Mytilus edulis: one gene and its partner. The protein of the gene in region 1 purifies or fractionates together with the protein of each later gene. This does not show direct contact. Links are inferred from orthologs where the notes say so. Each region holds a gene or a part of one and is shown on either strand. Other genes may lie near its edges. The genes, in order: E3 ubiquitin-protein ligase RNF123-like and ubiquitin-associated domain-containing protein 1-like.

The links.
Region 2: the proteins of E3 ubiquitin-protein ligase RNF123-like (region 1) and ubiquitin-associated domain-containing protein 1-like purify together in Homo sapiens (affinity purification with mass spectrometry; 7 studies listed by BioGRID and IntAct, counting the BioPlex papers as one, with this or other methods). This does not show direct contact. The link is inferred for Mytilus edulis from reciprocal best matches to the Homo sapiens genes RNF123 and UBAC1.

The regions. Positions count from the first base shown.
Region 1 is NC_092344.1:2,886,052-2,889,991, forward strand, and holds the start of E3 ubiquitin-protein ligase RNF123-like, read right to left. Parts: upstream 2,444-3,940; 5' UTR 2,278-2,443; exon of another isoform or gene 2,227-2,277; intron 72-2,226; exon of another isoform or gene 42-71; 5' UTR 36-41; coding exon 1-35. Other genes in the region: rab GDP dissociation inhibitor beta-like, read left to right, coding at 2,681-2,725. UniProt on the Homo sapiens protein: Catalytic subunit of the KPC complex that acts as E3 ubiquitin-protein ligase. Promotes the ubiquitination and proteasome-mediated degradation of CDKN1B which is the cyclin-dependent kinase inhibitor at the G0-G1 transition of the cell cycle.
Region 2 is NC_092345.1:75,269,426-75,273,365, forward strand, and holds the start of ubiquitin-associated domain-containing protein 1-like, read right to left. Parts: upstream 3,140-3,940; 5' UTR 3,066-3,139; coding exon 2,810-3,065; intron 1-2,809.

The DNA of each region.
Region 1 (3,940 bases):
ACATATATCCCTCCCTTGTATGCTGCTTCAGCCATTTTCACCTGTAAATAAAAGGTATCAAAATCAGACAACTATATTATCATGCACAATTCAATATGTGAATAAGCTGCTTTACTGATCGTGCTTAAATTTTATAGTGAAAGGCTTAAGAAAGATTCAAACAGCTAACACACAAGCTTAACATTATCATCTATCCCTATGTGTGTCAATGTCAGATGCACTTTGACATGTACAATTGTAAACCTTGAATACTTTAATTCATACACTAAACAGTGGCAGGTTGAGATCAACAAAATCGTTTATAACATTTATTGCTACTGAGTCTGATTATCTAGAGCTGCGATTTATTCACAGCTTAATTTGACTTCTCAAACCCCAGCTTCAACATAAAGTTACATGCATGATTTATGAAAACTTAATCATGATGAGTGTATACATAGTATTTAAATCTGTGTAATGTTCATTACTGTAACTACATTTACATGCTTATCAGCTGTTTTCTGCTCTTTGGTCAGGTTGTTGTCTCTTTGACCTCTATACCTCATTTCCATTCCCATTTAAAAAAATTGTCTTTTTAATTTTATACAATATTGCAGGTTTAAGATGGATTGACATGTAAAAAATATGCTGATAGGGAAAGAAATGCATGACCATCTAAAATCAGTCTTTAAAGAAATGGTACAGAAAGAGCAAGGACTTTATCCAACAACAATTTAACTATTTTTTCAATAATATAAAGAAATAATTTTTTTAAAACTGAATGACAAAAAATTTGTCTAAAAAATCCTTCTTTCAATTATCATGAATAAATTGGAATGTACATGAAAGTGGTTTATAGTTGAGAGAAAAATGGGCAAACAAGTAAAGATTAGAAGAAAAAAAGAGACAGAAAAATGTAGAAAACAGTTTAAAGGGGTGATGAACAGTAAAGAATAGAAAACCCTGGGCAAGAAAATAAGAATAGAGCAAATTGGTTAAAAAATATATAAAAGATATAGATAGACAGACCGTGCAACTGCAAGGGCTGTATAGCCAATCAAGGTCATTAAAAACTTCCTCGTTCTCTTTTTCTCAGAACCACTGGCCACTACTACCCATACTGGCATTTAATATATATAGAGAGACAATTATTCAATTTGAATTTCATGGTTGCCCCGAGACATATATCAACACCTCACAGTCATGTCACACACTTAAACTAACTATAGTTGACCTATGGCTTATAGTACATGTATCTGAATGTTGACCAATAAACCATGATATGACATGAAAATGAGGTCAAGCCATGTTCAAATGAACCCAGTCAAACTGATATTGTACATGTCATGTACACCTTTCAATATAAAAAAGAAGCTGTGGTATGATTGGTAATGTGACAAATCCCCACAAGAGACCAAATGACAAAGAAATTAACAACTATAGTTCACGGTACGGCCATTAACAATGAGCAAATCCCATTACACATAGTCATGCAGCTATAACATTTTATTTAAACAAGAAAACTACTGGCCTAATTTATGTACTAAATAACGAACAAAATTCAAACTTTAGTGTAGACCTGTTGCAATTAGTATCCAAGATATATAGTCTCAAACACAAACACTTAGTTAAAATTAATCTCTGGTCAATGACATGTTGAATAGACATTAGTCTATTGACATTTTTATTTTTAATTGCTTTGATGTTGATCTTTTTTGCACCAATTGTTTTAAAGAATGGTTGTGATCATTGTATGTATAATGAATATTATTATTTATTTTAGCTTTGGGCACTATGAGCATGATGAGAAATTAAATACTATCCTTTATATGAAGACTGTATATTGACTATTGTCCCTTAATTTTCTTTTCACCGGATTGTGGTGTTTTTGATTATATGTCATATGATATCTTTGGACAGATTGGGGACAACCCGCCAAATGGGGTCGTTCATTTGAGTTACCATTTGGTAGTGCTAAAAAACTAAATTTTCGTAACTGAGAATTTTATTTAAAATGGCACATACTCATCGAAAATCTCGATTTACTGAGAAGTTACAAGCCTACGAAAACTTGGAAAACCTGATCCCTCCTTATTTTGTTTTGCAGTCACCCTATTTTTGTTTTGTTTTGCAGGCACACTTAACATGCAAAATATCAAATGTTGGCCTAATTTAATCAAAATACATCACGTCGTCTGCTAAACTGTAACACTAACAGTAATTTTGTTTGGACTTTAAATATATCACAACTTTACGACGCAAATTTACTAAATAATGGAAAACTATTTGTCAACATACAACTATAAGATGTGGCTTGATAAATATCAAGTTGTCATAAGTCTATTCATTTTAAAATATTCTTGCAGAGATCACCCTATTTTTGTTTTGTTTTGGTACACTTGACCAGTGATTTGAACCAGGAAGTGCCTAACAACTCAAATTTATTTAACCGGAAATGGTTACGTCTGAAGTACTATTTTCAAATCCATTTCAGCATAAATATTCGACTTGCAAAGAACAAACCATTTTAAGGATCAGAATAAAATTGAACTAAGGATGTTAATCTATCTATTGCAAAGACAAAAAATAAGAAAATATCAAATATTATAATGCTTTTGAGATTACTACGCGTGGGAGGCCATTTTCGCCGGTGTGTGTATTTATCAGCAGATTGAAACCATTCTCACGAAGAATATTCACAATGGATGAAGAATATGATGTTATTGTTCTTGGAACAGGACTAAAGGTATAAGCGTTTGCTAAGCAAATAGATAAGACGTGTAAAAAGACATAAATTCTTGTAATAAATGTCGTTATCAGAAAACAGTCTATCATCAGTCTTGTGTGATGTCATCACTGAAATTATCATGTGTTTTGGTTACAATACACAAAATGAAATGTACAATTTGCTAGATATATTATATTGATCAATCTAATTGCGAAAATGTTCAGAATCCGTTTAATAATAAACTAGCGCTAATAAAGCTGCGGAGTCTGATCTGCCGACATACATTTGGTGTATTGATTTTTGTAAGCTTCAGTAATTAGAAGCCCTTTTATACTCTGATTTATGTATAAAATGTTATAGGCCTGTTAAATATGTCAGTTAAAGCTTGATATAAATAAATTTCGAATGTCTCTTAACATTATTTTTTTTTAATTAAAAGCCACACCCCCTTACTCTATATTGTCACAAATCAAATAATCAATACATTCCATGTATAAGAGTCAGCATCTTTATGGTTTACTTTTATAAGGAGTTATTCAATAAACAGCTGACACTTCTGATTTAAGTTGACACAGACTTAAATCTGGTTAAGATCAAGTGGACATTGTCATGATTGTCATAAAAATAAAACAAGTTATCAATAACAAAAAGTAAAAACACAAAAATACTGAACTCCGAGGAAAATTCAAAAAGGAAAATCAAAAATCAAAAGGCAAAATCAAAAGTCCAAACACATCAAACGAATGGATAACAACTGTCATATTCCTGACTTGGTACAGGCATTTTCTAATGTAGAAAATGGTGGATTGAACCTGGTTTTATAGCTAGCTAAACCTCTCACTTGTATGACAGTCGCAATTTTATGTCCAAATTAACATAAAATAACATGAATTTAATAGACAATATTAATTTGAACTAGTTCATTTGCATTAAATGGTTATTGCATACAGTATTGAGACAATTAACTGACAAAAAAATATTAGAGTGACATTGGTATTTAGTACTATTTACAGAGGAAAAAGACCACATAGCTCGCTGCTGTGTATTGACAGTTAACCTACATGTAGTAATGTGAACATTGTAAATTTATGAGAGTCTATGATTGTTACAGCTTAAATTTTACATTTTATCAAACTTCCACTTGTATGATAGTTTTTTCAGTAAAAATATATTACATTGTTACTGATCATGCTGATTGTACCAAACCATACTAATTCTTAATAAGCAGTACAA
Region 2 (3,940 bases), on another chromosome or scaffold:
ACCATCTTTTCATTATGATACATGTATATATAATGTATTTTCAAGGCCGTAACTAGGCATCTTATTTTAGTGAGGCAAAATAATTGAGCCGAGCGAAGCGAGGCGTTAAATTTTTTTGGAGGGTATGAAATGAATGGTGCAAAATCCTGCGTTCTAGGCATTTTTAGAGAGTTTGATAATGTTTTGAATTTGGACAGTTTTTATATAAATTGTTCATATTTAAAGACTTTTACTAATACCAAATTTTTAACAACTTTATTTGAATTTGTATGTAAGATAATCATCCAAATATCAATTTAAATCTGCCGCCAGAACATAGAACAAACATCGATTCAGTAGAGTTTGCCAATTATTTCTATGGTGGGTTCAGTCAAATTGTTTTAGAATCATAACTTTGGTCTGCTGATATCCTTATCGCGATGAACATGGAGCATGGCAAGTCCGCACAACCTCTCGCCACTCATGTATGCTCTTTTCCTAGATTTCAGTCGTTTCAGGGCAGTCTGTGTTTCTCAAGGTAGCACATTATCATCAACACAATGATCAATGTCTTCTTCCAATTCCTTCTCCATCAGCAATTCGGTAGCAGCATCGGTAGTAACAGTTTTGTTTGCAAAAGGGAATTAAGCTTTCCTATAAAGGCTAGCATCATCATACAGTCTCAGTTACAAAATATTAAACTCGCTTGTATGCTGACAAAGAGTAAACAAACTAGGGATAGAATGAGATAAGATACATGTATATGATCTATCTATAGAGTAAGTATATATGATATGGGTACAGGGGAATTAAAATGGAGTTTTGACGTTTACATGTAGGTCCGTAATTTCAAATTATTTCTGGAAATAGTCGGTGGTATTTTAGTTCCAGAATCTATAAATTTAGGGGTTAGGGGTTGGGGGTGTCTGATTCCGAAACCCCGAATATAAAGAAATGAAATTCCGTAGTCCCGAATAAGTAAAGACAAAATCCTGTGATAAAGGTTCTATACCATTCCTCAATAATGTCAAATTGGAATATGGGATGTTCTTTCAATTTTTAAGGTTAGAGAAACATGGATCATGAAAAACTAATCCATGCATGTTTCATATTATTTATATTTTATTTATCTGTAAAGAGAAAGATTAAAGTTGAAGAAACGGAGAAATGAATACACAGACAGGACTGCCCCCTTGCGATGCCCACTACTTGATTTGTCAGTCTACTTATCGTTTTTGGATTGTGCTAATGAAGTTATATGCAATACGCAGACTACGTTCACAAACAAATTAGTTTACTAGAATTATTCCTTCTTTACCTTCAGTGTCGCTTTTCCTTTTTCTGCAAGAGCCTGTTTTTAACCAGAGATCCATGATGATTATCGTTACTAGGTTAATGTAATTGAGAAACATCACCCGTTGAGATGCTGAGTTATATCCAGGAAGAATAGTTTAAAGGAATGATGACAAGTTATAGAAATTAAGGTTGAGACAGAACAACAAAAGACTATTTTATTTGTATATATGTATAAAAAAAAATAATCAGTGTCGAAATTTTAGTGAGGCAATTGCCTCACTTGCCTCAAGGGTAGTTACGGCCTTGATTTTCAAGAAATAACACATTCTAACTTGGATGTTTTATAGTATAATAAATTCTCAAATGAATGAGAAAAAAAATATCAATTTGAATTCTTAAATTCAATTTGTAAACCAATCGAAATCTTGTGTTTTAAAATATATATTTTTTTTATCATTTTTTGTTTTAAATACTATAAGCATGTAAACAATATTTTAAAATCAATAAGCACTGCCATCCTATTCCTTTTTAATTGATTTATTAATTAGTTTCACTCATTGAAATAACCTTTTTTTTGTTGGAAATTGACAACTTCACCTTCCTCTACCCTCTTACTTTGATAACTTTCCCTAAAACAATATAATTAATGGTTTAATTGCAAAAAAATCAAAAAAATTCTATCAAATCAACTGTTCAGATAAGAAAGCTTGACCGAGGTTATGTCCGACAACACATGCTGCTATCAAATGTTTACACATGTGGCAAATTGACCACATGTGATTGGTCAATTAACTGATGATTGGCAGGAGAATGGATAGGTGTATTGGTTTTGTGTTTAATAACTATAGCTTTGTAATCAAGTTTTGGCAAGTGTATTCTTATATTTGTTGTCATTGTCTCAAAATTTTGTGTTGAATACATTTTAATCATGTTTTGGATATAAGTGTATTGTCAGAGACATATAATACAATTATTATATGTATTATAAATGTCACAGGTATTGTTAAAAAAATAAATCTTTCTAAATAAAGTGGGATTCTGTCAACGTTTTATTTTTTTGTGTTAATAAATTTTTATCATGTTTTGGTTATAATAGTGTATTGCTATATTTTATTGTTTCAGATCAAAGGGACCAAGCTGTTAAAAACAATTATCTTTTGTTCATTTAAAATCTTGAATGTTTTACTTACACCAAAGCAATTTTATAATTTTATAACAACAATCACGATTTTCCAATTATTCAACTGGAATTTAAATTAAAATTGGGCGCGAACGTGTAGGGTGCGAAAGTGTATTGGGTGCGAAAGTGTATTGGGCGCGAACGAACCTGATACCTAAATGTACTTAGTATTTATGAAATTCTTAATGACTAAATTTGAATCAAACAGAAATTACCACAATATGACATAGGATGAGACAACAAAAGTTGACCATGTACATGTAGTAAGAGGTACACGACTTAAAAATGTTTTGAAATTCGAATATTTTTGCCGTTTGCATTTAATAGAGGTGATTTATTCTTATCACACATTACCATTTTCTTTTACTCCTTCTTCTGATATCGTTTTCTCTTCAGATAACACCTGACCAGTTCTTGCGAGTAAAACCTTGTGGTACAACGAAGTTTTAATGCTTTCTGCTGGGTCATTAAAGTGACTTAAAGACATTATTTTTAGTTCGTCAATCTTTATATTTGAGTTCAGGTCGATCACATAGTTACGTCCATCCATATGGCAAATCCTTATTCTCATCCCCTTTGAAGGGAAGATATTAGAATCTGAGACATACATGATAATTAAAGTATCATGAATGAAATAAGACGTATCTTGATTTTTGTTTATAGCGGAAATAGCTCAACGAAAGAAGTTAGAAATCAATGCTGGATAAGAACTGTTTCTCATCCGCGTTTTCTCTGAATCAGACTTCAGTTTTTAAGAAAGACAGTTGTGAAAAAGGATGAGTGCCATGATGGCAGTGCTAGTAGTTATATTGTGTGTGTGTTTGTTTTGATTAAAATTAACGTCTTTGGATCAATAAAATACATCGATATTTGAAATTTGATATTTTTTTCTGCAACCCGCATAGAAAGGTGAAAAATCCTTTAAGACATAGCTATACCCCCCCCCCCCCCAAAAAAAAACCAAAAAAAATACAACGACATCACGAGGCCCATAGATGCATGTAATACCTACATATATGATGAGCATTATACAGTTCTACTAATGAGGGTCTGATTCACTAAAAGTCATTTTTTTTTTGTGTTTAAAAGATATAGATATTTCGTTCACTTTTTGCTGTAATAAAACCGAATCCAAATATCAACTGAATCGAATACGAAATGCAGCATGCCATTAGGTATTGGAGATTTTATTGATATTTGTTGACTAGTTTATGATATTTTTTTAGATTTATGACACTAGTGACTGCACAAATCAATTCATATCCAACATTCAGTCAGTATAGATCGAGAAAATGACTGAGTATCTTTGTTGCTTCTCAGTATTGCGTCATCATTTTATTTGCTATTAGGGTATGACCATTTGATTATCGGAGCCAGCGGTGCCAGGGGGGGGTCTTCAAATTGACTGAATATTCTGACCTGGTACGAATAGAAATAACTGAGGGTTTGGATGGGGTTAAATGATTAAAGAATAATGCCCTTAAA